2 linked regions of the Oryzias latipes genome follow. The protein of the gene in region 1 purifies or fractionates together with the protein of each later gene. This does not show direct contact. Links are inferred from orthologs where the notes say so. Each region holds a gene or a part of one and is shown on either strand. Other genes may lie near its edges.

Region 1 (4,584 bases):
ACTGTGACTCAATTTAACTCAAGCTCAATTATGTTAATGGTCCTGATGTAAACCACAAGCCTCTCCAGACCTGCACTTTGTCTGTGGCTTCATCTCTGCAGAAGAGTTATCTATTTGTTTGAAATACAATCATTATTTTGTTCCAGAAAAATATAAACAGTATAAACATCTGGGTGTGTTTAGCTTTTATTTTATTGGTCAGACTTGAAAGAAACATTATCCATTTAAATTCAGATGGAAGTTTTTGCAGAAAAAAAAAAAAAGATATGTACGCTCACTGGGCACTTTGTTAGGTACACCCATCCAACTGCCCGGTAACAAATTTGCACTGAGCCAATCACATGGCAGAAAGTCAATGCGTTTAGGCATTCATGGTCAACACAATCTGCTGCAGTTCAAGCCGAGGATCAGAATGTGGAAGAAAGGTGATTGTAGTGACTTTCAAAGTGACCTGCTAGGATTTTTACCTACAGTGATGAAAGTCAGGCAAGGAAAAAATCCCTGAACTTTTCTTTGAGCGATATGGCGGGCACAGAGCGAAATTTTGGAAAAATACGTGGTCTTAGATGCATTCTGGCAACTAGTTATTCACTTCTTTATCAAGAAACTAAGACTAATTGGAGCATCATGATTTGTCATTCAAACCCCTAGTTTGACTCTCCATTAAGGACTTGCTGGTCCTAAAAAAGAATTTGGAAAATTGCTCAAAGTAACACAATCCTACAATCTACGCTTTTCCTTAAAGCTGCAAAACATACAATTGCTAAAATATAGTAACATCAAAGCCCCAAATGGCAAAAAGAACACCAGTAACTATGATATTCTATGAAAATACCTCAGTTATTTATACATTATTTCTGCTTTAGAAATGACTGATGTACAACATCCACTTGCACTGTTTTCTCAAACTATAATTACATCAAAATATGGGATCTGCTTTAAACTATAATTCTATAACATAATACATCAATTCTTTAACACCAATACTAAGTAATCTGGGAAATATCAAAACAAACATACAAACTAAACTAAACATTGTAAACATTATTTTTTAAGGGAGTGCGGGTCCAAACCATCAAATACTTATAATTAATGTCAACTATACTGAACTAAATCATGGTAATTAGGAAATACAAATAAATTAGATAGAGAAATGTATTCAAAATAAAAACTGAAACTCAAAACTAAAATTGAAATTATTTCAAAATGTGGTTTTGAGATTATTTTACACAAAAAAGTATTTGACCTACACTACCTTAAAAATCTTTTTTTTCCAGCCAAGACCACTTCAATTTGTTTTTTATCGTCTTCTCACAACTGAGGTCGTGACCACGCTCAATAATGACGATGCCTGCCATTATTTTAACACAAATTTGATCGCAAACTCTTCAGATGTGTTTGTGAAAATTTAGCGTGGGTCCGCCAGTTTTGGTCTCTAGGGAAGCGAGTCACGCTGACCACGTGGTGCAGACAGAGCCAATCGGACCCGTCGACGCATCCGAAAGCAACTAAAACGTCCCGTCATTGGTCAATTAGGCCGGGAAGACGAGAGATGGCCACGACCATAGAGGAAGCGATCTGCTGAGAAATATAGAAAATAAAGCTAAAATTAGCTGATTTCAGACCATTTTTTAATCCGGAAAGCGATTTGTCCGTAGAGATCAGGTCTTTATTTCCCGGAAAGTACGTTCGGTTTGCTCAAAAACCCGGATTTCCGGGAATTCCCGGAAGACTTTCATCACTGTACCTACAACCATCTCTAGGGTTTGTAGGGAAAATATCCAGTGAGCAGCAGTTTTGTGGGTGGAAATGCCTTGTTGATGTCAGAAGAGAATGGCCAGACTGGTTCCAGCTGATAGGAAAGTAACAGTAACTCAAATAACCACTGGTTACCAAGTTCTGCAGAAGAGCATCTCTGAACGCACAACACGTCCAATCATGAGGCAGATGGGGTACAGCAGCAGAAGACCTCAACGGGTACCACTCCTGTCAGCTAAGAACAGGAAACTGATTCTAAAATCGTGCACCTTGCCTGGTATGATTAGTCTCCATTTCTGCAGCAACATTCAGATTGTAGTGTCAGAATTTGCCGTCAACAACACGAAAGCGTGGATCCATTCTGCCTTGTATCAACAGTTCAGGCTGGTGGTGGAGGTGTAATGGTGTGGGGGATCTTTTCTTTGCACACCTTGGAACCCTTAGTACCAGCTGAGCATGGTTCCAACACCACAGTCTTGTTGAATCTAAGCCACAAAGGTTTCAGGCAGTTGTGAAGGCAAAAGGGGGTCCAACACGGGACTAGCAAGTTGTACCACATAAAATTGGCCAGTAAGTGTAAATATTCAACTATGATGACCTGGGGAAATCGAGACTGTTTTTGTTTGTTTTGTTTTGTTTTAAGCCTTAAACACGAACATAAACAAGGAAACTACAAGTACCACACATTACAATACATCCAATGTGTTTCAATATATGCTTTTTTTTAAATTGAGAGAATGGGTACAAGATCATGTCAGCACGTTGTTACCGTTTACAGATGTCGTCAGCCGTCTCCTTGGTAAACACTCGCTCCTGAAGCACGTTGTTGAGCGCGTGAATGGCGCACAGCTCCAACCGTTGCTTCTCATGAAACACCTCGGCTTCGCTCATTCTATCGCTTTCCGTTTCAAACACAAAAACGTGGACGTCAACAAAACCAGAATACACACGTCACTCATGCTAGCTAGCATCAGATATAATATGAGAGGTTAGCACCAGCTAGTACAGTAGTTCTTATCTTCTTACCTGAAAAGAAGCTAACTATGACACCCTGGTGGAAGTTCACCAGCTGGCCGCTCAAAAAGTGGTTTAGAAAGTAGCAGCAGCGCGAACTATTGTCACGCCATTACAATGAAACGGAGCTCGTTACCTGCTGATAAAGCAAATCCACGTTTTATTGACGCTGGAGTCCGTCAGCTACATCCAGAAACCGGAAGCAGAGTCTTTGTCGTGTTGTTGTTCTACAAAAAACACGCCCCCATGCTTAAAGAGTCCCACAGAGCAACACCGAAACACGAATTTTCTTTTATTTACCAAGTACATATAGCACTAAATAAACGCAAAAAAATATTTCTGGTAGTCCGCGCGATTGTTTTTAATGTTTTTAAGCAGGTCAAAATAGCAATAATGTAAGCTTGCAACGTCATCTAGTGGCAGCTTTATTAATTTCAGTTGTGGCAGAGAGGAGGTGAAGACAGACTTTCAGATATTTTTTCTCTAAAAGAAAAACAATACACATTTATATTAAAAAATAAAACACGAAATATTTCATATGGATTATTGTCTTTCAACTTAAGAATTTTTTTGATGGAGAAATTACTTGTGATGATATTCATGAATGTTGATGATAATGTTACATTTTCCTAGAATGCAACATGTCTACTATATCTGTGATTGACTGGATAACATCATATTCAGTGAAAGCAAAACTGCTCTGAGCAGGAAATACTGTGTTCAATCCAAGAGATACAAGTTGATAGCCATTACAAAGGCAGCAAAATGTAAGATGAAACTCCATTGTTGAACCTTTCTGTTTTGAGTGAACACATTTCAGCCATACAGGACCAATGAAAGGAGAGATATTCATAGAACAATATTTAATAACAAATTAGATAATTTGAAGATGCCATGAGCACTCCATCAGTTATTTTTTAGTCTGATATTGTGTCAGATGTTGCTATTCTGAACCTTTTACAAATCTTTTAATGTATGTTATGTGTTGAATTTAGAACTGAAGTTGTTCTTTGTCAAAATTGTTGAATGTTAGTGTATCATGTTCTGATTTTTTTTAAAGTTATGTCTGTTGTCTCATTTACAGTGATTTCTGTTGAGCTTTGTAGAATGGTAATAAAAAGACCTTCTTATCCTCTCCTACCTTCCTTTTGAGATTAAAAAAAAACCCTGTTTTATCTACATTGTCTCTATCAATGTTGTGTCCAAATTGGTTACCATTCCCAGTTATATGTTTGATTTTTGCACAAGAGGTCCTGAGGACACTATTGGGTTATCTGTTTGTGTGCTATTTTGCATTTGGCGCTGTTTCTTCCTTCATAAATGCACAGGAAACTTTGAGATGTACAAAGACCTGCATAACATTTTTTAAAGATTTCTCACAGAACATAAGCCAGTTTTGAGTACAATGTTTCAAAATCAAATTGTGCAAAAACAAGCATTAGATCACAGCAATGCTAAAATAGCGTTCTATTGTCTGATAGTTGCGGGGTTTGTTTTTATGTTCATAGATATTTAGGACACACCACTAAATTATTGGTATTTGTATGATGGACAGTCATTTAATATTATTATTGGCCTACAATTTTTTTTGTTAGTCCAAAATCCTGCTCCAAAACCAGGAAAGCTGTCCTCAGGTTGAGGCACCATGTTTATTGAATGCCCTTATCCTGTCAGTGTCCCTGATTGACTCTGTTGTGTCCTTTTATAAAAAAGCTAACATGCATTTGTTTAGGAAAGGTTAAAAGTAATGAATGTGAGTGTATGTGGTTGTGTGGCTCAGACAGTCCAGGGTGTACCACACCTGGGGGTAGT
Region 2 (3,500 bases), on another chromosome or scaffold:
TTTTTTTGTTTGTTTTTTAAGGTAGCATGTGGCTGCTCAGCAGGTTTCCCAGGCAGGGTCACATACACATCTGTACAGACAGAAAAACGCTTTTTAGCCACTTTGCTCGTCACTATTTTGTCGCTTCACTTTGAAAATCCATTTGCAACAGTTTAATTGAAACCGACTGGTAAATTTGCGCCACCAGCTGCTCCTTTGACGTGGCCGATTTGCACAACAGAGAAAAAAGGAAGGGATGTCCTGATCAGGTTTTATGGCTATTTAATTTGATGCATCTGCTGAGTTCTGATTTAAAAAAAAATCTAATAAACAGATCCAGGTTTTTCCCAATTTTTTATTTTATTTGGATCATTTAACACTCAAACAGAGCACTTCTATGAAGTCGCTTAAAGTAAAAAAAATAGAACTAGAAAAAAAAACTAATTAATAACTAGTGAAATTGGTGATAATTAGTCATGTGTGAAACTTTAGTGATGATAACTTTAGGATCTTCAGTATGATTGAATGATAAATTCATTGAAAATTCTTTAAAAAAAAGAATTTCTTCCTAAACTGTTGTTGTAGCATGAATATGATTGTGAGTATTCATGACTGGCTTATATCAATGCAACCTTTAATCAGTTTGTCTTTTAAGAAGTCGTGGAATTCTTTTTTTTTTTTTTTAATCACTTTTTCCAGGAGTTTGCTCTTTGTTGACGGTCCCTTGGGAGCCATCTCATTGCTGCGCCTGTTTAATTTAGGGATATCTAAACTGATCAGGTGATCGGAAAGCGGGTCTGATTGCATCATTTCAGGGTGTCTTCGGATGGGATGAACCCTTTGGTCCGGATCGTTTGGTCTGTTTTCAGACTGGCATCAAGTAGACCATTCTGTTCCGGACCGACGCTTGTTAACAAAACCACGTGAATAAAGATCTCTTCAGTTATTGGCTAAGATGAGCAGTTCCTGGACCCGGACCAGGGTCCTCTTGGGTGTATTCAGAGGGAAAATTTGTTCTGGATTATTTTTACCCTGAAGTATTTTATGCATTTGACCAATCAGATGGATTCCTTTACATCATTGACCAATCGGACCAATGATGTCCGATCGGTCAATGACGTGACCAACTCACCCTGCTCGGCAATCTCAATCTCCCTGCGTCCAAAGTCGGCCTGTTTGATGTTTTTGATGCAAAAATCTCCGTTGCCTTTGGAATTTTTCTGTTGCTTGTCCCGAGGGGAGGTCTCATCATCAGAGCTGTCCGTGTACGATGCAGCTGCAAACAAAAACAAAGTTTTTTTCCCAGATTAAAAAAAAAAAAAAGCTGCAGCACAACAAGTTAGTGAAAACTGGATGCTTTTCAGTTTTTCTTTTTTTTTTCCTGTTCACTTCTTAAAAACTAAAGGCTCCCCCTTCTGCCCTAAGATGTGACCTGTGTGGGGCAAAGATCCTAAATAAGCATAGAGTCTGATGCCTCCTGTAGGGGCAGTAAACCTTCAGGAATGAGAGCACCACTCCCATGTGAAATCACCCTAAAAGCTGGATTAAAAAAAGAAAACCTAAAAATTTAAAATCTATGAATCGTCGAATAACGTAACCCTCGTACTGAGGGTTACGTTATTCAAATCCCTGTAAATCAGGAGCAGATGAAAAAAATGCAGTTTAATATGGTTGTATTTGTGACGTAAAAAAAAAATACACTGGATGGGTCACAAGCTCCATGCTCCGCCCCAGAATTTCTAATGAACTCCTGCCGCTCTGCAGAAACTATGTCCTAGAAAACGACTTAGGTTTTTTGTTTTTTTGGCTAAAAACTGCAAAATCATAATTGAAAGACCACTGGAATCACTGACAATAAATCAAAAGAGGATCGGAGAGGATCTTAAATGTAATTACTTCTACTCTTCCAGAAAAATAGTTGCATTTAGTTATTTAAGAATGTAAGAGCTTTTACATTTATTACTAAAAAGTTCCACCTTTATTCTGTTTTAATTACTTTTAATGTAAAAAATCTTTTTCTACAATTCAGTCAAATCTCGTCGTTCAATTTGTATTCATTTTTGGGAGCATAAACAAAGCACGACCAACTACACACCCTTTTCTCAGGTGCAGGACAGGTACATGACGGCAGTGTCATCCCCAATTTCACAAAGATAACTGGAAGAAGGCACCATTTGTCCTTTTCACGTGGTTTAACAGTTTCTGTTCCAGCACAGCTGGCTCCTGGGTTTGCCCTAGAGAGCTACAGTATAGCCTTTCTCACAGACTCTCCTTTGTCTCACTCCACCTGCCAGAACACTGACAGTGACGCAGGCAAACAATCCTTTTACCGCCAGCGAAACATGAGAGAAACTGCAGCTGATCACTGCAAGAAGCAAAAAACAGGGGGAAACCTGGTTAACGTGTTGCATTCTCTAAATTGACAAGTCCATGGTTGTCAAAATGACTGTAGATTGACCCATGTGTCATGCAGGTAAACTAATGAATCAAACTTCACCCAAAAAAAGTAAAATGATTTATTTATATATATATAGTTTTAAAGAAGCACAGATATCTCTTGATCTACTTTAAATTGTTACAATCTTTTAATTACGATTATGCTGTTTTTAGCCGGTCATTTTCTAGGACATAGTTTCTGCAGAGCGGCAGTAGTTCATTAGAAATGTGCCTCAGAGTTGTGGGCGTGGCTGTTGGTGTGGAGCAGCCCCGCCTCCTTTCCTCTCCTCATTGCTGGGAGCGGGGAGCATGTGGCATGCCCAGCGCATTTTTGCATATGTTCAGCAAAATCAGAATAAATACTCCGAAATGGAATTTAGGCGTGATTTTTGTCATACATGTCCTCAGAAAACCACATATGTACATGTTAAAACACCAAAAACACCATTTTCATTGAAAAGGGACTTTATAGAAATTTCTTTGACATTTAGGCAAATTAGCAGCTTTGCCTCCTTTTTTTAAAGTAACTTTTCTTAATTTAACTAATAAAATTATTATCTTGCATAACTAATTATGTGAAAACTGTATAATCGAACAAGGAATGGGTCAGGCTGGAAATTTGACTGACTGAATTTAGTTTACAATTTGTTGAATCAGAAATCCCATCTATCAGTATTGTGGTCGTGTCCCATGAAACCGTGCATGACTGCATATTAGAGTTGGGTATATTTCCCTCTCACATGACTCAATACGCATCTCAGATTCAAGTAACTTTGTGGAAATATGATATAGACCAAGTCTTTTACCGTAATGGATGCAATCTTAATATTTAGCATTTATTTGGCATTTAAAACTACAAATGAAGATGAATTTTAACAAAAAAACTCCTGTTTTTACTGGGTTAAAGCAACAAAATGTCTAACAGCTTGAAACAATTAAAACCTGACAGTTTGGGTCTTTTAAGTTGTTTTGTTCTTCTAAAAAGAAGTTCGTCATGTTAATTTATTCGGATATTGTTTGTGTTGTGAACACAACGGTTATCATATGTTTAGTAAACACAACACACATCCCTCGCTGTGATTGAC

What was found. Proteins that work in one complex are often made in the same cells at the same time.
Region 2: the proteins of josd2 (region 1) and putative adenosylhomocysteinase 3 purify together in Homo sapiens (affinity purification with mass spectrometry; 3 studies listed by BioGRID and IntAct, counting the BioPlex papers as one, with this or other methods). This does not show direct contact. The link is inferred for Oryzias latipes from reciprocal best matches to the Homo sapiens genes JOSD2 and AHCYL2.

What each region holds. Positions count from the first base shown.
Region 1 is NC_019874.2:19,500,014-19,504,597, forward strand, and holds the start of josd2 (josephin-2), read right to left. Parts: upstream 3,017-4,584; 5' UTR 2,909-3,016; exon of another isoform or gene 2,785-2,908; intron 2,657-2,784; 5' UTR 2,650-2,656; coding exon 2,528-2,649; intron 1-2,527. UniProt on the Homo sapiens protein: Cleaves 'Lys-63'-linked poly-ubiquitin chains, and with lesser efficiency 'Lys-48'-linked poly-ubiquitin chains (in vitro). May act as a deubiquitinating enzyme.
Region 2 is NC_019881.2:6,482,016-6,485,515, forward strand, and holds part of putative adenosylhomocysteinase 3, read right to left. Parts: intron 1,256-3,500; coding exon 1,112-1,255; intron 1-1,111. UniProt on the Homo sapiens protein: May regulate the electrogenic sodium/bicarbonate cotransporter SLC4A4 activity and Mg(2+)-sensitivity. On the contrary of its homolog AHCYL1, does not regulate ITPR1 sensitivity to inositol 1,4,5-trisphosphate.